Saccharomyces cerevisiae S288C: one gene and its partners. Changing the gene in region 2 together with the main gene of any one other region gives a genetic interaction. Each region holds a gene or a part of one and is shown on either strand. Other genes may lie near its edges.

Region 1 (5,622 bases), on a different chromosome or scaffold from region 2:
CGAAAGTTCGTCTATTTATCAGACGCGCCATGTCTGTACAATATTTGTTACCTAATTCGGTCATCAGGTATATCCAAGAACATAGACTATATGTGGACCAAACCGAACCTGTTAAGCAAGTTCTTGGAAACAAAGAATGATTTGCCGTCCGGAATTGCTTCGTTCTTTCTTTCATCTTTCTCTTTACAATTTCCAATTTTCCCCTACAGGAATTAATTGGAGGGTACAAGCGAGTAGAAATGTGACATATGACTTACCTATCTGTGTTTTAGTATAGTTTTTTTTTCTGTAGTATAATTCACTTTTACACTAATTTTTTCGCCTTTTTCTCTTAAAGAGCTAATTTCTATAACCTTCAGCGGTTATACCAAATATAAAAAATGGAAGGAAAACAAACAGTAAGAAATAAGCGCAACAGCACGTTAGTTCACCATTGGATTCCAACATTTCAAAATTTAATCTAATGGCAAGAGATATCACATTTTTGACCGTATTTTTAGAAAGTTGTGGCGCTGTAAATAATGATGAGGCAGGAAAATTGTTATCTGCTTGGACTTCAACCGTACGCATTGAGGGACCGGAATCAACCGACTCTAATTCATTATATATTCCACTGCTACCACCTGGAATGTTGAAAGTATGTTTCTCCTAGCAAAATTAAAACCCATCCGTGAATGAAGCGTTACTAACTATAATAACTGGTAGCTTTGTCACTCGTACCAGGAAAAGTGAAGATTAAACTGAATTTTAAAATGAACGATCGATTAGTTACGGAAGAGCAAGAGTTGTTTACAAAATTGCGCGAGATTGTAGGTTCAAGTATTCGCTTTTGGGAGGAACAACTGTTTTATCAAGTTCAAGATGTAAGCACCATAGAAAACCACGTCATTCTCAGTTTAAAATGTACAATTTTAACGGATGCTCAGATAAGTACGTTCATAAGCAAACCCAGAGAGCTTCATACGCATGCCAAAGGATATCCTGAAATCTATTACCTTTCCGAGTTATCAACAACTGTCAATTTTTTTTCTAAAGAGGGAAACTATGTCGAAATAAGCCAGGTTATTCCTCATTTTAATGAATATTTTTCCTCTTTAATAGTGTCTCAATTGGAATTTGAATACCCGATGGTCTTCTCCATGATTTCAAGGCTCCGATTGAAGTGGCAACAAAGTTCGCTCGCTCCGATATCCTACGCCCTAACGAGCAATTCAGTACTTCTTCCAATAATGCTTAACATGATTGCCCAAGACAAATCTTCAACAACCGCGTATCAAATTCTGTGTCGAAGAAGAGGTCCTCCAATTCAGAATTTTCAAATTTTTTCCTTACCGGCTGTAACGTACAATAAGTAGCATGCATAAAATATAATTTAATCAAATACTTTTGGGCAATTAAAATTTTAGTTAACAATAGTTATGCAATGCGCTTTATGTTCATATGATACCGTTTATAAGCTATTGCCATATCCTTATCTTATTGCTTCCAGTAGCCTCGAGTCGACCACTAAAAAGATGTCACTTAAGACGGAAATTATGTAGCTGCACTTCTTTTTTAACAAGTTCGGTCGGCCCTTCAAGTTCTCCTTTCTAAAGCCTCATTATTTATTGCGTAGATGCTAAATGTTATCGCGGTTTAGCTTGCATGTTACGTTTCCGTTTTAGAACCTGGTCGAGTAGCGAATAATGTCTTCAGTTGATGTACTGTTAACAGTAGGTAAGTTGGATGCCTCATTGGCGTTACTGACTACTCAGGATCATCATGTTATTGAGTTTCCTACAGTATTATTACCAGAAAATGTTAAAGCTGGATCTATCATAAAAATGCAAGTTTCACAAAATTTAGAGGAGGAAAAAAAACAAAGGAATCATTTTAAGAGTATACAAGCCAAAATTTTGGAGAAGTATGGTACCCATAAACCGGAGAGCCCAGTTTTGAAAATTGTTAACGTTACGCAAACGAGCTGTGTTCTAGCATGGGATCCATTGAAACTTGGCTCAGCAAAATTGAAATCACTGATCCTTTATAGGAAGGGAATACGTTCAATGGTAATTCCAAATCCATTCAAAGTGACTACCACGAAAATATCCGGTCTTTCCGTTGATACGCCATACGAATTTCAATTGAAACTGATAACCACGTCAGGAACATTATGGTCTGAAAAGGTTATATTGCGTACACATAAGATGACTGACATGTCTGGTATCACTGTATGTTTGGGTCCATTGGATCCATTGAAAGAAATTTCAGACTTACAGATATCCCAATGTTTGTCTCACATCGGGGCGAGACCTTTACAACGTCATGTTGCGATAGATACTACGCATTTTGTCTGTAACGATCTAGACAATGAAGAAAGCAATGAAGAGCTTATAAGGGCAAAACATAACAACATACCAATTGTCAGACCGGAATGGGTGAGAGCTTGTGAGGTTGAGAAAAGAATCGTTGGTGTTAGAGGATTTTACTTAGATGCAGATCAAAGTATACTGAAAAACTACACATTCCCACCAGTTAATGAGGAAGAACTTTCGTACTCAAAGGAGAATGAGCCGGTAGCCGAAGTAGCGGATGAAAATAAGATGCCCGAGGACACAACAGATGTCGAACAGGTTGCATCACCTAATGACAATGAGAGTAATCCTTCAGAAGCTAAGGAACAAGGAGAAAAGAGTGGACATGAAACTGCCCCAGTAAGTCCTGTAGAAGATCCATTGCATGCTTCGACGGCTTTGGAGAATGAAACCACCATCGAAACCGTCAACCCCTCCGTAAGAAGTTTGAAAAGCGAACCTGTTGGTACTCCCAATATAGAGGAAAACAAAGCGGACTCTTCCGCAGAAGCCGTGGTAGAAGAACCGAATGAAGCTGTGGCTGAAAGTTCTCCAAATGAAGAAGCAACGGGACAGAAAAGTGAGGATACCGATACACATTCTAACGAACAAGCTGATAATGGATTTGTACAGACTGAAGAAGTAGCTGAAAACAACATAACCACAGAAAGTGCAGGGGAAAATAACGAACCTGCAGATGATGCAGCAATGGAATTTGGACGTCCAGAAGCTGAAATTGAAACTCCAGAAGTAAATGAGTCTATAGAAGATGCCAATGAACCTGCGGAGGATTCCAATGAACCTGTGGAGGATTCCAACAAACCTGTGAAGGATTCCAACAAACCTGTGGAGGATTCCAACAAACCTGTGGAGGATTCCAACAAACCTGTGGAGGATTCCAACAAACCTGTGGAGGATGCCAATGAACCTGTGGAAGATACCAGTGAACCTGTGGAGGATGCCGGTGAACCCGTACAAGAAACCAACGAGTTTACTACCGACATTGCCTCTCCAAGACATCAAGAAGAAGATATAGAACTTGAAGCCGAACCTAAAGATGCTACCGAAAGTGTTGCAGTCGAGCCATCCAATGAAGATGTAAAACCAGAAGAAAAAGGTTCAGAGGCAGAAGACGATATCAACAACGTTTCCAAGGAGGCTGCCTCTGGTGAGAGTACTACCCACCAAAAAACTGAGGCCTCTGCTTCTCTTGAAAGCAGTGCCGTCACGGAAGAACAAGAGACAACGGAAGCCGAAGTAAATACAGATGACGTTTTGTCCACTAAAGAAGCTAAAAAAAATACTGGCAACAGCAACAGTAATAAGAAGAAGAATAAGAAGAATAAGAAGAAAGGGAAAAAGAAATGATTAATGGATGCCTTCAATGAGTTCCACGACGCACGTTTATTTTTTCGACTGAGAATCCCTCAGCAAATATAATCTATTTTTTATATATCTGTGTATATGTAAGCATGTATAACTAGTTACAAATATGATAACTGCTTTGGCGATCACTTCATTTTCTTGAGAGGGGTACTCAGTAGCCGCCAAGCACGAAATGTCCGTTATTAAAAATTGGGGAGTGAATCTTAAAAGCCCGAAAAGGAAATTCAAAATCTGTCTATTTATAGGCCGTCGCGCTCTACGAAAACGCGAAATTATTCAAACGGAAAACGGAAAAAAATCTAAAAAAAGAAATTAATTGAGAGATCTCACGGAAATGCCGCGAGGAATGTTTCTCGAGGCTGAGCGGCGTGGTCTGTGCAAAAAAATGGCAATTTTTTTGTAGGAGTTTGCATTGGGCCATTCAGAAGGAGCACCGTTAGATGGGATGGTAAATGAATTTGCTGTTTCAGATTTGAATCAATCTTTACCCGTTATTTTTGCCGTTTTGCTTTCATAATCTGCAAATTAACAAAGTCATAAAGAACATAAAGACATCACCCCAGTTTTTACACTCTTTTTTCCTGTGTTTGGTTTAGCACAACTTTCCAATAACCAAGTTGGTTTCAGATCATCCCCATATTATTTTCTAGTTTCATTTACTTACCAAACTCACCATTCAAGGCTTTCAAATTAAGTTACGAGTACAGTGGACCATTTTTTTCTGATTCTTCATATTTTCCGTTATAAGTCTTATAAGGAAGGTATACATTTATATTGCGAATTTGAAAAATAATTTAAAGCTGACTTTGCGTTTTAGGTAGGCTAGAAAAGAATACAACTATCCCTAAACACATTCTAGATTCACGAAGACGCCTCTGCCTCAAAGACATACTATATTTTTACTCTCGTTGAACAAATAGTACCATTATTTCGCTACTTTCGTTGAAGATTGGACATATAAAATACGCAAATCATAGTATGTTGTCTTTCACAACCAAGAATAGTTTCCGCTTATTACTTTTAATACTGTCATGCATATCGACGATACGCGCACAATTTTTCGTGCAATCATCATCTTCGAATTCTTCAGCAGTATCTACTGCACGTTCTTCCGTAAGTAGAGTTAGTTCTTCAAGTTCCATTTTGTCATCCAGTATGGTTTCTTCCTCAAGTGCTGACTCATCTTCCCTTACTTCATCGACATCAAGTAGGTCCCTCGTGTCACATACGAGTTCGTCTACCAGCATTGCCTCCATATCGTTCACATCATTCAGTTTCTCATCAGATTCAAGCACCAGCAGCTCTTCCTCTGCTTCTTCAGATTCTTCATCCTCCTCATCCTTTTCCATCTCTTCGACATCCGCAACTTCTGAATCATCGACGTCTTCTACGCAAACGTCAACATCATCTTCATCCTCACTGTCGTCAACGCCGTCCTCTTCATCATCCCCATCAACAATCACTTCTGCACCTTCAACCTCCTCCACACCATCCACTACTGCCTATAATCAAGGAAGCACTATCACCAGTATTATTAACGGTAAGACGATTCTCTCAAATCATTATACTACCGTTACGTACACACCATCAGCAACCGCTGATTCAAGCAATAAATCCAAAAGTTCGGGTCTTTCTAAAAAAAATAGAAACATCGTCATTGGTTGTGTGGTTGGTATTGGTGTACCACTGATTCTGGTGATACTGGCTTTAATTTACATGTTTTGTATCCAATCATCAAGGACGGACTTTATTGACTCAGATGGTAAGGTCGTTACGGCATATAGAGCTAACAAATTTACGAAATGGTGGTATATGCTTTTGGGTAAGAAAGTTAGTGATGAATACCACTCCGATTCACCATTAGGTGGTAGTGCATCGTCCGCAGGTGGTTTAGACCTAGATG
Region 2 (7,931 bases):
ACCCAGATTCATACCGGGATGGTGTTCGCAAATCCTTATCTACACCTGCAGAAGATGATGGTGCAGCAGATGGTCTCGATTCTGAGGGTGTGGACAAGACTGAAATTAACACTCAACTTAATTCATTGGCAGATGTTAGCAAATATAGAATTGGTGAACTGACCACGGTGATAAACACTACAGAAGCGATCTCTCCATCTCTAAAGCTGCTAAATTACCTGTCTTTAGGGGTATCTCCCAAGCCTAAGAATAATAAACATAAGAACGAAACCTCCTTGAGCAGAATGACAACAGCTACTGATTCCACATTGAAATCTAACACATTCAAAATAAAAAAGATGGTTCATATCTGGTCTAAAAGCGTTGACGATGTGGATACCAATTTAAGTGTTATAGATGAAAAATTGACCCCGTTTGAGGGAGTCGGTGCATTGAGGGCCATTCATTTACGATTGCTCACTGAACGGACAACTGATCTGCTGCAATCATCTTCTCTATATAATGATGATCCCCACTTTACCGCAAATACAGATTCACTATTACAAATTTTTGATATATTTTCAAACCTGAGCAAAATACCATTTTCAAGTGAAGTCATATTTTCTACAATGCGTGAAAAGGCAGCTAATATAGCGACGATGAAAATGGATTCCACAGATCTGATCTTATTGCCATTAAAAGGGGCCTCGTATGAGTATAGAGGGAGCCCAGTCTTCATTGATGAAAAATACGCAAACTTTGATCACATTTATTCTCATCTCCTAGGTCTGAATGAACTATCATCTACTTTCTTCAAGTCTATTTTCCAGTCACTCAAGGCAAATTTTGCCGTTCAAATTTCAAATACCTATGGCAGATTAAATGCTGATCGCTTTAAGAGGAAACGGTTCAATTTATTACTTCCAAAACCATACCTGACACAATCCGATTATCTTGGACTATATCTTCTCTTATTGATATGCTATAGAGATGGCTATAATAATGATAATGCATCCTGTAGTATATTTATTAACAGCAAGAATATTGATTTCGCAAAAGATTTGTCAACTGCATTTGCTGAGCATGACTGGCTAAACGAATCTACCATTAAAATTGTGGATATCCCCTTTGAAACGAAAGTTCCAGAAGAAGCAATTGAAAAGCCGTCCTTTATAGAGACTGTGCTTGATGTTGGTTTATCAGATACTGCTTTAGCTGATATAGAGGAGACTACCTTTATTATTGGAGAGGACCTTCCTGATGAAAGTGAGCCCTTCAGCGAAGAGGTGAGGACTGTAATATTTGAAGGGTCGAATCGTCGTTTTGACACCCTTATTGTGCACCATTTTTCGTCTGAATAAGTATCAGCAGAAATTTTTTAATTTTCTTTGTTCTTAATTTTCAGTCATTCCGTCATTCCGTCATCTATGTTTATTGTTCTATATTATTACGTATGCATAAATATCTTAAGTATAGATCGATCCTAATAGCTATTCAGTTTTATTCTCCTGAGAGGTTATCCTTAATTTTGAAGAGTTTAACTTATCATTTGACTTTATAAACTTCGCGAGTCTGGTAGATTTGAAATTGAATGTTTCATTTACTTCACTAAAAGGATGAGAAAGAAGCTCGTTAGCGGTTGGCCTTTTCTCTGGATTTATCTCGAAGCATGCGTCCAGAAAATTTCGTCCGATTTGCGATATCAATGGTAAAGTGTCCTCAGGAATTGGTGGTGCCGATTTTGACTTTCCAATTTTGAACATGGCTGCGACGACTTCTAAGTTGGACCACGGGCGCTTACCAGCAAACATTTCCAGAACGATGCATCCCAGAGACCATATATCAACTTTTGCACTGTAGCCTTGCTTTGTATCAACCATTTCAGGAGCCATCCAGAAGACTGTTCCTCGCATGGTCATATCCGAATTAGAGTATATGTCCTTTGATTTTCTTGAAATTCCGAAGTCACTGATTTTGCAGATACCATCTTGATCCAAAAGTAAGTTGTCTGCCTTCATATCCCTGTGGAGAATACCTTTCGAGTGTAGGTATGCCAATCCTTTTAATACTTGTGTTGTTAAATGTTTGATCAACGGTTCATCGAATCTTCCATACATTCTAATCAAGGATCCCACGGAGCCACCAGCAACATATTCTAAAAACAAACTGTAAATATTGTTTTTATTCTCAAAACCTAAGTATTGAACAATATTAAGATGATCTAAATCTTTTAACGTGGACACTTCAGATCTTAATGCTTCCACGGTACTTAGAATGGCTTCATTTTGTGAGCTATACTTGGGGACCTCAACCTGCTTAACGGCCATCATCTCACCTGTAGTAACGTTTAAACATAAATAAACAGCACCGAAAGATCCCTTCCCTATCATTTCACCCTTCATCCAGGCGAATTCCTTATACTCACCTTTCGAATTTTTGGCTTTATTAATTGACACCATATGGTTTTCGGTCACTTCGACCATTCTTGTACCCCACATTTTGGTGTTCTGTCTTTTTAGTTTTACAGAGTTTTTTCTTGCTAAACTAGCTTCATGTGCAATGGTTCTTATGGTTTTTGTTCTTTTAGGTGTCTTAGCTTGATTCAATGGTTTATTTTTACCGTTAAGTCCATCCTGTATGAACTCGTATGAGCTATCAGGAGGGACGGGACGGGAAGGAGTGCTTGGCTCAGTTCTCGATGAAGCCACATTCTTTGGTGAAAGTAGGCTGTCTAAGGATTTCGGAGATGTTGGTGAAGCTATTCCTTCAGTGATTGGCTTATCTAAGTTAGCCCTTGGGAAGAATTTCTCTAAATTTTGATAAACGACCTCCGGAGATGGTCTAAAGGTCATCTTTCTCTCCATTTTGTCCTGCGTTTGAGAATCATAGAATATTTCGTCAGAATGCGTAGAACTGTTATCGCTTTTCTCATCCTTTTTGTTTTCATTATTAGTCTCAGGAGCTGTTTTTTTCTTGGACCAGATAATGTCATCGGATGAACTAGAATCGTCATCACTATCATCGCTGTCAAACATCGGCGGAGCATCCGCGAATGTTATGTCATTCTCTTCAAATATATCGGCCGCAGATGTCGACGAAACAACTCTTTTTGAGTTACCTCTTTTTAACAATGGTGAAGGAGAATAGAAAATTGAATTTGAAGTCGATACAGTTGAATTTGAGCGATTCACTTTCTGTTTCATTTTCAAAGATGGGGAAGTACTCGTCGAGTCCTGGTCTGTTTTCAACCTACGCATAACATCGTTTGCACCCTTATAAGGTTGCGGTATCAAAACATGAGTCGAAGCAGGAGTATATGAGGAAGTAAGCGAATCAGGAGACGAGCTGCTAGCTTCTATAGGAGATGATAATAATTGTGGCGGCAATGGTTTCGATCTTTTGCTTCTCGAAATTTTTGTACTTGCCCTCACTAGGCGGATCGGTTTATTCTGTTTAGAAGTTGATAAGGTCCTCTGAGGAGAAGTATTTGCGGGAGGCTTGGGAGCTTCTCTTTTTGGTGCCAGTTCTGGTTTTGTATAAGGCGATTCCCTACGATGATTGAAATCAATTTCAGTCCCCTCATCTTTTCTTAGCACTTGAAAACTACTCTTGCTTTCATTTTCTGTTATGGGGGTAGGAATATTTAATTTACTTCCTTTATCTGGTAGGTTGAGTTCTAATTTTGGACTTGTTTTAAAAACCATTTTTGGTGCATTTTCCTCATGAGAAAGAACTTCTTTAATATTCCAATAATTCAATTCTTCAGTTGGATTAGTATTGGAAACTCTGTCATAGTAATAACTCGGGGTTTGGGGGTACCTGCGCCCACTTCCTGATGCATGTTCATCAAATGATGTTATGTCAGAAGACGAAGTGACAATGGAAACATCATCTGTCGATGCTATCAGACTGCTTGTTCCGGACCTCATTGAACTCTTACTTTTCACCGATTTTAAAGGAACATTGTTTTCTGAGGTGAGAGGAGCAGGTTTCGGTTTTTGTTGAAGCTTCATTTGGTCTTTGATATAAATTTTTCCAGAAGTGTTCAAAAACAAGCTTTTTTTCAAAAATTCCAAAGTATCATCTGGAATTGCAGCACCAATATCGCAATCAAAGTCTGTCATATGGAAAGTGACATTTTTGTGATTGATTCCCAATTTTGTGAGAGCAGATTCTTTGAAACTGGATAATTTTGCTACACTTTTTAAGTTTAGCGGAACAAAACTAACATTATCTTTGGTAACCAGAATATATTTATTCTCACTATCATTTAACCCTGTTTTCTTCAGAGGATAAAATTTTTGGTCCAGTAAAAAGTTCTTTACACTATACTTTTGATTATTTACCGGCACTGGAACTGTCTTGTCTGGATTAATACAATCAGGATACGTTTCTTTAAAAGACGCCGTGGTTGAAGAAATTTTAGGTGTATCTTCTGTGCTGATGACCTCCAAACTTCTGTTTGCAGTTTTGGGTATTGGCGGTGGTGATGAAGATGGAGATGGTATATTTACATCTGCCGTTTGTACGGTTAAGGTAGCAGTACTCGAATTCGATTTTAAGGATGGAGTTTCTTGAGACGTTACATAAGCTACCGTATTTGGGCTAGGAACCCCTATTTGGCTCTTTCTTTTGAATTTATTCCATAAATTACCTTTATCATCCGAAGTGGGTAGTGAAGATTGTTTTAAAGGTGAAGACACATTAGTTTCATAGTGTTTAGATTTTCCTTTAGCTAAATTTTCACTAGACAGACTATGACCTTGTGGATTAGGCTTTGTTGGAGCTTCCTCGCCTATTCCACTACCAAAAAGGGAATTTAATAATGACGACTCAGATGAACTACTTTTGTGATGTCTTCTAAATATGCTAGGATACGAAGGAGATGCAGGTGGGCTCGCCGATTTGGTAAGTGTACTGTTAGATTCAATAATTGAGTGCGGCCGAGCCGGTATACTTAACTTGATGTTTGAAGGTGATTTTGCTGAGGAAGCATTGCTCGATGATGAGCCTCTTAGGGATATAAAACTTCTTCTGTATAGTGAACTTGCGCTTTTGGTTTTTTGGTGTGTTGAAGTAGAATGTAAAAAATTCTTTTCATCGGTCTTGGAAGGGCCCGATTTTGTTGGGCTCAATGCAGATTCTGACGTTGATCTAGAATTTGAAATATCCTCTTGCGATTTACTATTTTTTAATTTTGATTTGATCGATTCGCTGGAAGACCTGGAACTTTTAAGTTTGCTAGCGCTCTTCTGACGAATATGGCTATTTGTTACGTTCTTGGTCATTGTTTTTTTCAATAACTGCTGAAACCTGGTATATGAAGCAGTTTTAGTCTGCGGCAAATACTTTTCATAAACAGCGAAATTATCATATGCAAGCAACTTTATAAATCTGTGACCAAACAATTGATGCTTTTTGAAAAACAATATCCAGGATTCTGGAAAATCATGAAATTTAAACCATGAGGTGACGCGATGCATTGTCCATTCATCAGGGTCTGTAGGATCCCACGATAGAATTAGCTTGTCAAAGGACAAACTATTTACGCTATTGCCACCGGAGGATTTCCTCGAATCAGAGAGGCTACTAGGTCCATTGTCATTTTTATAAGAACTGTTTGTAAAGCTCGTTGGGTTTTCAAGCGTTCCAGCTGAGATGTGGTCATCTGTCGTCCAATTAAAGGATTGTTCGATAACTGGCGTGCTTTCGTAAAACTGAGAAGAGGTAGAGTTGGGGGTTAGGTTGGGAAATTGGCTTCTAATATCATCATAAATGCTTTTGCGAGATGTTGCACGAGGGCTTTTGCTTGAACTTTTGGTTGATGCTACCGAACTAGTCGGCTGATGGCCGAATTTCACAGATGAGTTCGAATCAGACCTAGAATGTGTATGTGCTGTCCCCGCTATTTTCCTCAAAAAGGGCATTTGGAGGTGGAGTTGAACTATTTTAATACTATATTTAGTGTTTCGTACTAATGGTCACCCCTCTGCCCTTGTTTTTTTATTTTTTTTTTTGGTGAATCCATTACCTGATTTTATTATTATGCTTACTTTTAATTAACTTGTTGAAATTTCATAGCATTATAACTTAGAAGACGCGTCGGTCTGGAATTGAATGGCCATTGGGGCCGAAGAAAGTGTGTCAAATTTTATTGTTATTTACATGATTTTATACGTATGCGTATATGTACATATCCCTAAAATTCAGTTCATACTCAGTTCTGATATTCTTAAGATTGTCAAATCACCTTTACTCTTTGCATGACGGACCCGTCTATTTCTTCTCTTCGTTACCTCCCTAGTTTGGAAAGCCCTTTTAGTTTTCCCAACAACGGTTGCTTTTAAAGTATACAGAGAAGTATTGATTGGATGACCAACTAGCTTGTAGTTTCTAGATCCTAAAGTTGTTACATCGGTCATGTTTAAAATGTCACCCACCTCCGCTTGCTTCAATTTGAATGGAAGAATAACTCTGTCGCCCTCGGTCACCAAATATGGACGATTATGAATCTTGAATATTGCATATAGTTCATTTGATAATTTTAGTGGAGTTGTATCTGTCTTAGTAGTCTTAGCTTTTGTACTACTGATGCTTGAGGAAGTAGCTAAATTTCTGAATGGATGACTGGTAAATGGCCTATAAATAGGTGTGATTCTGGCCACTGGCCATATGAATTTCAGTTGTAGCATGAAAATTAGAGCAACACACTTAAGATTGTCTCGGCACAGTTGTTTCAGTAGGCTGTGAAGGTCGACTCCGAGTGAGCTTCGACATCTTTCTAAGAGTTCTCTAATTCGGCTACCCTTCGCAATTTTGCTCAATATAAAGCCCGTGCACCGCAAGATACTAGTGATTATGGTTAAGAGCGTTGAAGCCATTTCAATGTGAAGGCTAATATTCTTATAAAAAATACAGAAGAATTTATCTAAAGAATTCAAATTAGTTTCTTCCCGAAAGAGGATCTTAAACTTTTCATGACTTTCTTTCTCTGTGCTACCATGTGTAGGAAGAGCATTGGGAAGCCTGGGATATAAGCGAGCATGGCCGCTATTAAAATTCTTTTGTAAAGTAAAGAATACTGAGATTCAGCTGCATTTAAAGCACAGTAAATAATGCGTAGTTCGCTGGCAACACCAGTGGGGTACAAAATCCAGAACAAATTATATCTTAATAGAATTAAGATCTTTGGTGCGCCATTCTTGAATACCAACATGAAAAAATAATACAAGTATCTGACGATCTCAGTTATAGACCATGCCAGTAATAATGATATGTAAACAACTGATTGAACACCACTTGTGTTTGGCAACAATTGGAAGATGCCGAGGACAACTAGTAGTCTTGAAGACACTTGTGCAACAGTGGTCAGCAATGGGGAACGTACAACTCCTAAAAATGAGTTTATGATCTCGATTATAGCACCACATTGAACAAGGGTAGCGACATTTTTAGTTTGGTAGAAGAATGCTGGCTGTCCAACTTTTGGGTACAAGGAGATGACCAAGTAAAGCAAATAAGACCAACCAACAGCAGAAAGCAAATTATAAAGGGGTAAGAAGGACAATGGTGACGCAAGTTTTTTTGACATATTGTAGAAATTGCTTGGAGTTGTGCTTCTTCTTGTGTGATGATGAGTTATTTTGTATTTTGGATGCTCTTGATGGACCAATTCTGAGTTCGAATAAATTCAACAGAATTTCGAAAAAAAGTACACGAAAAAGAAAACGCCTTTTTCCTTTTTGAATACTAAACAATCGAAGTAAGTTATCAAACGGGCAAAGTCGCAATAAGGCACTAGACAGCATATGTAGTCCAAACGATTGTGAGTTAGGAAATACATGTGTTATTGTATAATTATTATTCTTATTATTATTGTTATTAATATTAGAATTATTAGAATTATTTAATTAGTATTATTTCCTAGTCCCTGTAATGCTCTGAATTAAATT
Region 3 (5,410 bases), on a different chromosome or scaffold from region 2:
CGCAATAGCAAAATGGACACCGCTATCTACAGCTGCATTTACAGCCATTTCCATAGCTAGCGATTTGCTACTTCCCAAAGAAAGATTGGCAGTCGATCCTTTGAATTCTTTATTCTTTTTCTTCGACGATTCTATATGCTCCTTAGTAACATACTCTATACCTTTAATAACATCTGAAACCGTCCCTTCCCCATTAGAACGAAGAACTTTGACAGCTACTATTTTTGTATTTTTGGCTACACCAAAGTGCTTCGATCCGATAATCCCCGCACAGTGAGTTCCATGACCATTCAAATCAGAAGCTTCATCGTTTGCTGGTATAACGGCTCCCCACTCAGCACGCCCTTCAAAGTCCTCGTGCTCGGTATCAATTCCTGTGTCGAGTACATATGATGTGACACCTTTTCCGGCGGCATCTTCATATAAATATTCCAAATCTTGTCCATATTTTGGTTTCTCCCTGTGCGAAACTCTATGTAAACCCCAAGGCGCTTCTTCCTGCAATGACGAATTAGATATTTTTACTGTAGTTTCTTGCTCTACGAACTTTATGATTGGGTCCTGGGAGATTATTTTAATGATTTCATCAGTGAAATAGCCAGTATAACCTCGAAATAGACCATTTATGTCAAAAAAATTATCAATACCTCCAAATTGAGATTTAGATGATACTGAAGAAGAAATTACCCTCCAAAAAGCGTCATTTTCTGTAAGCTTACCTACTGAGGTACTATGATCCTTCTGTACCACTTGCATATGCGATTGAATCTGCTGGAGGGAAATATCTTCATTAAAGACTATGACATACCGATAAGGAAGAAACTCTGTTTTATGAGCGACATGTTGATGTTCAGTGTGAAAATTTCCAGGATCATGCTGTCCCAAACCTTCTCCTGCTCTTACACTGCGAGTACCATCAATATTCTCAATAAAACGAACTATCCCGTCGAAATCAGGGATGATCATACAAAGACAGCAATTTGCCCAAAGTATAGGTAAGATGGTAGAGAATTTCATGTTTAAAGATATAAAGTGGTTGAACAGATTGGAAACCTGAACTTACAATATAGCAACTTGATAAGTTACGTGTTATAAGGACTCAGTCAAAAAAAACTCTTATCTAATAATATATATATGAGTGCCTGTTATCAGTAGCCGCCCTTCCGAGATTCGAGATTCGCCATTGCTCGGAAGACGCGAACGGTGGCTACTCCAGGAGAGAAAATAAGCGGAAAAGCTAACAATACTCACTGCCAAATGTAGTAGTTTTGCCTTACCATTATCTGTACCTTATTTAGATCAAATTATAGTGCATTTTTCAAATATTTTTAAGAGTTGAAATAATCTTTACTTGTAGAGCACATCTTTTATATCAGTTGCGTCTGACTGACATTGTACAGTTATATAAGTTAAAATGTAACTACAAGTCCTTCATGGATTTGCTACCGGAAGTGAATATCTTGTAATAAGACCATAGCCAAAATATGCTAAAGCAAATGAACCCAACAGCACAGTTCAACAACACCCACAAGTCTGGATATTTCGATGGAGGTGCTACAAATTGATCTAAGAAATGATAAAAGCCCATAGCAATATACGTTCCTATGATAAAACTTTTCCAAACCACATTATATGGCAGTAAGCTTCTTCTTCTATAGTCGCTATTGATGCTGCTGATAGAAGGGCCAGGAGTTAAAGATTTTGGCAAGAACCTTGGTGTAATAAAACTGAAATTTCCAATCAGCCAATTGCTTAGTAAGAAAGATACGGCATACTGTAAATGAAGACCGTCCTTTTTCAACAAAGGCCATAGCGTAAACAAAGCCACATTGTTTATCCAACTTACAAGAGATAGAACATTCCAATCAGTAGAGGAGTAGAGTAGTGTAATAGGCAAAAGTGGGATGAGGATAGTTTTCTCATGTACTTGAAAGCTAAAAAGAAAAAAGGACATCGAACATGCGATTAACACGTATGGGAGAAGATGCTTTTTGGGATGAAGTAATGTCATTATCATGGCTGGTAAGAAACCAATCACGGTGGCAATCAATGAATATAGCTGGAGTTGTTGTATAGTGAATCTTTCCTTGTATTTTACAAACACGTTCGTAACGCACCAGAAGTTAGCAACCTTGTCTTCGAAGATGCCCCTGGCAAAAGGGAATATCCTGTGAATACATTGGTGAATATTCTTTAATCCTCCTCCCAAGAAATATAATGGCGCAAATATTATAGCAAAAGTTGCGAGTGTTGCAAACGCAATAACCGTCAATCTAGCTATGTTAAATTTGGGGAACAGCAATGATCGACTTAATAGATAAGCAAAAAAAATCGGTGCATAATACAATGCCATTTGTTTAAAACAAATGGATAGGACAAAACAAACGGCCGCCATAGCATAATACTCATCTAATAAGTTATTTATGGCATAAGCAGTAAGGCCAAGCATGACTGAATTATATTGAAAGTGCCCATGGTCAATGAGCATTAATGAAGGTTGGAACAAAATCGCTGATGCCGCAATAGATTGTCCTATGGGCGACTGGTTTCGATATCTACCAAGCCACTTAGTAAAGTATATTACTGCAGGAAAGTAAAACAATATGTCGCTAATGATGACAGTAGAACGCATATATGTTTTCAGGCCATTATCGGGGGATTCAAAGCCACGTGACTTTTCTAGTGCAAACCAAGATGGATTGAAAAAAGATCCAATTAGGCCCAGAAGGTACGAATGAAATGCTGTTAATGGTGGATAGTCCAATCCCCAGTATTGCAAATCATACCAGTACCACTTAGAAAGCGGTAAATGTTGCGTAATTTCCATCCAATGTCTCTGAGCCTCAAAATCGCCGTACAGCGGTGGACTGCCTTTCCCAGAATATGGACCAAGTCCAATTGTGCACCTCAGTATTACAGCACATACAAAGATAATATATTCTGGCAGCCATTGGTTCCCCACTGGCCTAAACGGATACAAAAAATCATACATTGGAGAAGCATAAAATGATTCTTCTGCTGGTTTGTTCACCAGTAACCTTTTGCCAATGGCCATTTTCTATGCGAAGCCTGATGTGAAGAAAAGAATTCCTGACACCGTCCATTCGGAGTGCCATTGCTTTAACATGAGCAAATCCCTTTTCTAACTTGGAAGTATTGTTCTCGCTGAGTATTTAACACGCACAATATTCGAGCGAAGTATAATCCTGCAAAAATTCAACTATAGATTTCCGGATAACCTCCGACGTTGAAATTATATAAAACTTGTACTTTTCATAATAAAGGAGATGAAGGGAAACACAGAAACAAAAAAAGAGAAAATGGTGTGCATGGGGGAGCCATAACTCCATGACACAGATATTCGATTAGATGAATTTAGAGGTCTTAAATGAAAATTACCATAATTTATAAATAAAAAAATACGCTTGTTTTACATAATCACCTTTTAAATGACAGATTCTTACCTTTGGCGGCAGGCCTCCTCTTTTTAGCTGCCCTTGGTCCATTACTATCGCTAGATGATGGGTCGAATCTCCTTTTCTTTTGTTGTCTATTATTTTGGCCAGGCTTATTAGATAAGATATTCGGAATTTTTGAATAATCCACAGCATCTTTTTCCGTTACACCTTTTTCCTTTGCTGGTTGTTTCTTTTGAATGTTTTTCTTCTTTAAAACAACAAGATCATCAAGATTATCAATCTCAGGCGAGTGATTAGGTGCGCTCGCAGGGTCTACTGTCTTAATCTCCTCTAGCTTGACAGGAACAACGAGAGGTTTCTCTATTTCGAATATGATATCCTCCAAGTTTGCTAAGGCAGACTTGAAATTTTGTGCTCGGATCCTGATATCTTCCGTCTTCACTTTATTTGGCAAGCCGTCTTTGCTATATGCAATATCATGCTCCTCACGTGGTAAAATCTTACCCAACAGAATAGAAGAATTAGTGACAGGCTTGGCTCGGCTCTTGGAAATATTGCTGTTGCACAACACCGAAAACCTTTCCATAACATCACGGATTTGAGGAACACTTATAGTCTCCAACAATATTCCGTCTGCTTTGGTCTCGGAAGATGGAATGGGAGTAGCTTCCTCATTGGTGTTCTTGATGTTTCGTAATGCATCTCTTATCAAATTAGCTAATAGTTTTGCATTCTGGCGGACATGTTCAGTTACGCCATTGGTCAAAGAAACAACACCTATGACATCAGTAGGTGTATATGCGACAAGTGCAGCCAATAACTGGTTTGGCATAACAAATCGTGGCGATTCATCGTCTCTTCTTGCAATAAGATCTCTCCATTGGTATAGCTCTCTTACTAATACTTCCCTCTCAGGTGGTATGTTGTACTGATACATCAATATTTTCCAAGGACTCTCTTTTTCGATTGGAGAATAAACTTCTGAAGAAGGTGTCAGTGGTCTGTACTTTGAATATTCAAACCTTCTTTTTGCGACATTTCTTGATTCATAAAGAACACCTGCTAACTTATTAGACTCGATAAGTTTGTTTCTCAACTGGTCATATATATTTAGTAAAAAGTGAGTATCTGCTCTAGCATATGCCGTCATGGGTTTTGAAAGCGGTCTTATACGCCAGTCAGCCAACTGATATTTCTTTGAAGTTTTAAAATTGGCAAAATTCTCCAAAAGATAGGCCAAACTATGTCTAGGAAGACCGATTGCTTTAGACGCATGGTAAGTATCGAAGAGACCAACGACATACAAACCTAAATCTCGCTGAAGCCAAATAATATCCATGAATGCACCGTGAAAAACTTTCACAATTGAAGGGTTCGTAAACACTTCGTTCAGAATATGTAAATTTTCGCGAAGTTTTAGAGTATCAACTAAATAATCCCTTTCCCTTGTACTAATTTGCATGAGGCAAACAATACCATAGTATGACCTATAATCGTGATGCTCAAGATCAACGGCAATCTCTTTCGTATTTTTCAAGTCCTCCAACATTGATTCGAGTTCTGTACTTGTATCTACCCAAATTGGTACCGAATCATCCCAGGATTTTGAGGGAATCTCCTCTCTAATTTGGAGAATTTCTGGACTATACTCTTGATGATCAATCTCATATTCATAAGGATGGGGGTAGTGACTGGGGTTATTTTCATCATCATCAACCAACCTCAAACTCTCAGAGAGTGGCTTCAAAGCATTTGGTTTTTCCTTCAATAAAGGTATGAACGGATGACTTTCGCTGTTATCAATTGGACTTTTAAATTTCAACTGAGGTTTTTCGACTCTTTTGGTGGGAGAAAAATTCTTTCCTGAAAATTCGCCTAAATACTGAAGATCGGAACCTCTTGACTTTGAGTTTATTGCACAATTCAGCTTATCCAGCGAATGGTCTGACATTTCTAACAAATTATCCATGATGTTTCCAAAGTTGTTCCAC
Region 4 (5,621 bases), on a different chromosome or scaffold from region 2:
TGATGTGTTCCGGAAAAGGAGATGTATACCAAGGTTTAATTTCATAATTTCGAAGAACAATGTATTCTATCTGGGAAAACCACACTTTATTTTTGATTCTTGGTACTTTCCCTTTCCTTTTTTTCCTATCTTCGTTTTCTTGATCGGTTTCATTATGATTGCAAAGTGATACGTTACCATTAATGTACGTTGCAGACTTAGAGTTTTCTAAAAATGTAAGAAACTTTATTTTATCTTCCCAGGTGGGTAAAGTTCTTTTTGTACTGAAATCTTTCATTTTTTTTATTGTTCCGCCGTATGGTACGTACCATTGCCAAGAATCGTTATCCCTGAATGGCGTATTATCAGAAGAATATGGGTACTCCATGTTTTCGGTTGCTAGATCCCATGTTTGCTTTAACCTGTTAACTCTTCTTTGAAACCCGATTAGAGGACCGGATGATGTTATATTTTTGTTAACTAAAGGTGCTATGACTGAAGATTTAGATATTAGTCTTTCAAAATTGAAAAATTTGATAGAATCATACTTAATTCTAACCTTCAACTCCTCGCTGACTTCAATATTAGGTTCAATAATGGGGAAACTTACTGCTCCCATCTTATTGTCCCTATTAACGATATTTTGAGAAGAATTTTCTGACGCAAGTTTGGACTGCTGGGAAATCAACCCTTTTTTTATTTTATTAAGGCCTTTATCAGACCGAACACTTCCTCTTATTCGATGTGATATACTGGCATCGGAGTTGAATAGTCGTCTTGTAGTTCTATGTCCATTTGTATCGCTTCTGACAAATTGAGAATGTATCAGATCATCGATCTCTAAGTTTTTCAATAATGCATTTTTTTTGGGTTTTGGCGATTCGTCGTTTGCTGTTAATGACATTATCTGCAAATTATACGGAGACTAATTAATGAAGAAGGAAGAAGAGAGAGGGCGGTATGAATAACACCTATGAGAAAAGAATAGCAATGCTTTTCCTTTTTTACCTTTTATATTCGTTCTTTCTTCTTTTGCCTCTTTTAATATGCTTTGTTTCTGTGCTATTTTCCCGACTCTTTATTTCAAACAATGAAGCCCCCAATTAATCAAGAACCACCAAAATAGCATGTCAGTTGAACACTCAACGACTAAAAAAACGAATAATTTCTTGTTCAATTGGCCTGAACGTTTGACTATGAAACTTTCTGCTCTTCTCTGATCATTGTAAACAAAGAAATGTCAATAAATTATTGTTACCCGACTTTCTATATACTACAAATACCGCCAATGATGCAGTGAGCAAGATATCAATTAATGCAAAAACAATATCGAGTAAGGTAGAAACATCTCTGTGATTAAACATCGTACATATAAATACCATATATAAAAGTATGTGGGAAAAGAACGTTCAAAAAAAAAAAGTAAGTAGTAGGTTAAAAATAAAATCTCAAAAGAGGGAAAAAAAAAAAAGAGGGATAATTTTGGCTTGATTACATTGCGTTACTTAAAGTAGCCTCATCATTCATTCATTATCATCGTTTCATCGACATTAGGTGACGTTTCTCAGTAAAAATTAACTTCATCATGATCATTAATTTCATATTCATATTCGGTTATTTTTTTTTTTTTTTATATTTTTTTTCAATGGTGTTTTTGATGGTTTTTATTATATATATATATTTTTTTATCTTTTATCTTGTGTAAGCACCCCTCATTACTTGTATCGTGCGATATACAAATACCAAACAAACTCTATAATCATAGAATAATGGAAGTATATATTACCATAGATTCTTCTTGTTTTGGTTTTGTAAATCCAGTCCGCTTAAAGAACGATTCAAGCCCTGTTCCAAGCCATCATCTAGTCCAGAGTGACTCAAAGATTTATAGATCAAGTCGGCACTATTCAAATTGTGTGCGGACAACATGGACTCATCGTGATAAGACTGATATGAGAAATTAGAATGTACTGAGCCATTTGTGTGCTGTGGAAGCAGTTGGGACTGTGAGTTTGCTGAAGATGGGCCGTTAAGGTTGTACAACTGCTGGGAAGACAATGAAGCATTTTGGTATGCCACTGGTACCCGTTGTTGAGTTTGGGACTGTGCTGGTGGTTGCGCTTGGGATAGGGTTTGGCTGTTGATTGGGATTTGTGAATTTGGAGGTGAAATTTGAGAATTTCTCAGTAAGGGATTAACGGAATTGATTTGATAATGGTTGGCAGAATAACCGGATGGAATTCTTGAGGATGGTGTTAAAGTAGCTTGTTGTCTTAAAAAAGATTGTTGTTGTTGCGCAGCTGACTGAACATTTTGCTGTGTTTGTGGTTGAGGTTGTTGCGGTTGGTCTGCGGAATTGTATTGAGAACTATGGTGTATGTTCATTTTAGGTGAGGTTAGTGTTGGTTGCATGGAGAATTGTCCCTGTGAAGAAATTTTTGGTGTTGAGCTGGCGCTATTGTTATTAATGATGACATTGTTACCGTTACCGTTATTACTGTTAATAGTATTGCTGTTGGAAGAATTGTTAACGGCCTGATTGCTAATACTATTCGCTGCAGCTGCTGCATGGGCCTGTAACAAACTTGTATAAGATTGTGACCTATTCATGGAGCCGCCAGTGGAGTTTGGCTGCAAAGGATGAGCAGATGTCATTTGACCTTGTTGTTGCAAATGAGATTGTAAATTAGCATGATCCAGAATCTTTCTTCTGATAATAATAAATCTTGGATCATATACTTCTACTAGCCCTAAGTACGAGCACAAAACATTGATAATTCTCTTGTGGGAAGCGGATATACCCATGGGATAAGCCAACTCGTAATAATACTTTTCTCTATCCTTAAATAACAATAATTGGGAATAAATTTCCAAAGTGTCAGGGTCATTGAAGTCCAGTTGTTGGGGTGGGAGAGGCAAAGTGGAAGTTGATGGTAAAGGCGCATAAAATCTCTCAGTGGACATCTGGGCTTGATTATTAACGTTTGTTTGGTACAACGATGAAGAAGTATGTTGGGCAGAAAGTGAAGGTTGGTTCAGAATGATGTTACCACTATTGTTGTTATTAGAACTGTTATTGTTAATGGTATTATTCATTGGACTGTTCATCATGCTATTAGCATTAATGCCGTTCATTAGAGTCGAGAATAATTGATTGTTAGAAGTATTATTGTTTCCGCTTCCACTCATTTTAGATAAAGAATCCAAAGAAAGATTAGATGACGATCTGTGTTGTTCTTCTAATTGTCCTCTTTTCTCTCTCTTCTCCCTCTCGATTCTTTCTCTTTCAGCTTGGGGAAGCATTTTTTTATATTCCACTTTCAATTTCCTCCCGCTGATTTCCTTTCCATTCAAAGAAGTTATCACTTGAGTAGTTTCTTCAGGAGTGGTGAAATTCGCAAAGGCTAGTCCTCTGAAAATACCGTTATCAAAGTGGTAATTGAAGGCATAAGGAAGGGGAAGATCCATTTCTTCAATAATGTCTAACAATTGCTCTTTTTTAATAGCAAACGGAATGTTTTTAATAACAATAGCATTTGGGATAACATCATCGTCCAAAGCACCATTGGTGGGGGCATTATTCAAATTTGTAGAAGAAACGTTTTGTTCGGCATTTTTTGCAGAGTTCTCACCAGTTTCCGTTTGCACACCGTTTTCTTTGTCAATTGCATCTCTAGTTTCGATAGATTGCTGATTTGTTTCCTGGTCATTAGTCTCCGTATTTATATTATTATCCTGAGCATCATTGATGGCTGCAGGAGGAGCATTCTCAAAAGAACTGGTCTCCATTTCTTATTGTTGTTGAACACGCTTTCCCTAGTCTGTAGCCTGCCTCTATGAGTACTATATCACACTTCTTCTTGCGCTAATCTCCAAAGACCTGCTGGTAATCTCAGCTGAAAGGCTGCCTTTAATTGTTATTCTTTTCCAGGAAAAAATCGCAAAGTTGCAGCATCCGTGTTTCGTGACATCATTGAAGGTTACCCTAATCTATTACCTCGGATTAACTTGAATTAATAAGGACACACAGGTATAGGGAAGGTAAAGTTGAAGTAATGATAAGAAGTGGGCAGCACCGAAGCAGTTTATCTGAACTAACTTCTGTACGACTCGAGAATATAGTAAGAACACCATCATTAACCTGAAAGTTAAAAATGTCAGACCCTGTAGAGTTATTGAAAAGAGTATGTAGTAGGGAAATATATCAAAGGAACAAAATGAAAGCTATGTGATTCCGTAATTTACGAAGGCAAATTACTAACATTGAAATACGGGAATTGATATTTCCCGTTGTGTTAAGGCTGAGAAGAAGGGTGTTCCTTCATCGGGTTTCATGAAATTGTTTAGCGGTTCTGATTCATACAAGTTTGAGGAGGCTGCTGATCTTTGTGTCCAAGCAGCCACCATTTACCGTCTAAGAAAAGAGTTAAACTTGGCAGGAGACTCGTTTTTGAAAGCTGCTGACTATCAGAAAAAGGCTGGTAATGAAGACGAAGCAGGAAATACCTACGTAGAGGCTTATAAATGCTTTAAAAGCGGTGGAAACTCTGTGAACGCCGTGGATTCATTAGAAAATGCTATTCAAATTTTTACTCATAGGGGGCAGTTCCGGAGAGGTGCTAATTTCAAGTTTGAGCTTGGAGAAATTCTAGAAAATGATTTGCATGACTATGCAAAAGCTATAGATTGCTATGAGCTCGCTGGTGAGTGGTATGCCCAAGACCAGTCGGTAGCATTATCGAATAAGTGTTTTATCAAATGCGCAGATCTAAAGGCTCTTGACGGTCAATATATTGAAGCAAGTGATATATATTCGAAGTTGATCAAGAGCAGCATGGGCAATAGATTGAGCCAATGGAGTTTGAAGGATTACTTCCTAAAAAAAGGGCTTTGTCAGCTAGCTGCTACTGATGCAGTCGCTGCTGCAAGAACTTTACAAGAGGGTCAAAGTGAAGATCCGAATTTTGCGGATTCAAGGGAGTCAAATTTCTTGAAAAGTTTAATCGATGCTGTTAATGAAGGTGATAGCGAGCAGCTAAGCGAACACTGTAAGGAGTTTGACAATTTTATGAGACTAGATAAATGGAAAATTACCATTTTGAATAAAATTAAGGAGTCCATCCAGCAACAAGAAGATGATTTGTTATGAACGGCATATACTTACGCGCACATACATATATACATATATATTATAAATGTAACACTTGTTTTACCCGAAACGGCGAAGTAATTGTGTACCGCCGTGCACCTTTTCCTCGAGATAAACATATAGCGATGACTTAGAGAACAAAGTAGTATTAGTATCATATACTTCCAACGTTAATCAAGCGCAATAAACCTTTGTTCGTGTGTTTCAAAGTTATTGCAAGAGCGAAGTTGAAGCCATCTTTTCACGAGAAGTTAGCTGTGGTTCGAGTCTGTCGCACGCCGTGTAATGTAAGGATCTTCCCTTAGCTTTTCTGATCCGGAGCCCTTGAGGGATATTACGCATCGCGTATCTTCATACGATTACTGTACTTTGCTGACTTGCATTCTTGATATTGGGCTATAGTTGGCACTTCGCTCGTTTCTTTTCTTTCGTTATATAACGTAACCTTTTTTTTTTTAACTTCCTTATCCTGCCCCTTATCACTCTGAACCCC

The links.
Region 1: mutations in BCK1 (region 2) and CHS5 together harm fitness more than expected from each alone (negative genetic interaction), as found in Saccharomyces cerevisiae (7 studies listed by BioGRID, with this or other methods).
Region 3: mutations in BCK1 (region 2) and ALG6 together harm fitness more than expected from each alone (negative genetic interaction), as found in Saccharomyces cerevisiae (5 studies listed by BioGRID).
Region 4: mutations in BCK1 (region 2) and PIN4 together harm fitness more than expected from each alone (negative genetic interaction), as found in Saccharomyces cerevisiae (5 studies listed by BioGRID, with this or other methods).

The regions. Positions count from the first base shown.
Region 1 is NC_001144.5:785,979-791,600, forward strand, and holds CHS5 (Chs5p), read left to right. Parts: upstream 1-1,685; coding exon 1,686-3,701; downstream 3,702-5,622. Other genes in the region: nicotinamide-nucleotide adenylyltransferase NMA1, read left to right, coding at 1-140; REC102 (Rec102p), read left to right, coding at 464-637, 735-1,355; JIP3 (Jip3p), read right to left, coding at 4,691-5,068; MID2 (Mid2p), read left to right, coding at 4,698-5,622. UniProt on the Saccharomyces cerevisiae protein: Component of the CHS5/6 complex which mediates export of specific cargo proteins, including chitin synthase CHS3. Also involved in targeting FUS1 to sites of polarized growth.
Region 2 is NC_001142.9:245,230-253,160, reverse strand, and holds BCK1 (mitogen-activated protein kinase kinase kinase BCK1), read right to left. Parts: upstream 5,907-7,931; coding exon 1,470-5,906; downstream 1-1,469. Other genes in the region: KHA1 (Kha1p), read left to right, coding at 1-1,340; mitochondrial 54S ribosomal protein bL21m MRPL49, read right to left, coding at 6,186-6,671; enoyl-CoA hydratase PHS1, read right to left, coding at 6,917-7,570; SAP185 (Sap185p), read right to left, coding at 7,903-7,931. UniProt on the Saccharomyces cerevisiae protein: Serine/threonine protein kinase involved in a signal transduction pathway that plays a role in yeast cell morphogenesis and cell growth. This pathway seems to start by SMP3; then involve the kinase PKC1 that may act on this kinase.
Region 3 is NC_001147.6:327,062-332,471, reverse strand, and holds ALG6 (dolichyl-P-Glc:Man(9)GlcNAc(2)-PP-dolichol alpha-1,3-glucosyltransferase), read right to left. Parts: upstream 3,056-5,410; coding exon 1,421-3,055; downstream 1-1,420. Other genes in the region: putative subtilisin-like protease YSP3, read right to left, coding at 1-1,017; exosome nuclease subunit RRP6, read right to left, coding at 3,439-5,410. UniProt on the Saccharomyces cerevisiae protein: Dolichyl pyrophosphate Man9GlcNAc2 alpha-1,3-glucosyltransferase that operates in the biosynthetic pathway of dolichol-linked oligosaccharides, the glycan precursors employed in protein asparagine (N)-glycosylation.
Region 4 is NC_001134.8:120,992-126,612, forward strand, and holds PIN4 (Pin4p), read right to left. Parts: upstream 3,769-5,621; coding exon 1,762-3,768; downstream 1-1,761. Other genes in the region: SAS3 (histone acetyltransferase), read right to left, coding at 1-883; alpha-soluble NSF attachment protein SEC17, read left to right, coding at 4,134-4,163, 4,280-5,128. UniProt on the Saccharomyces cerevisiae protein: Involved in normal G2/M phase transition of the mitotic cell cycle. In association with RAD53, also involved in checkpoint control in response to DNA damage.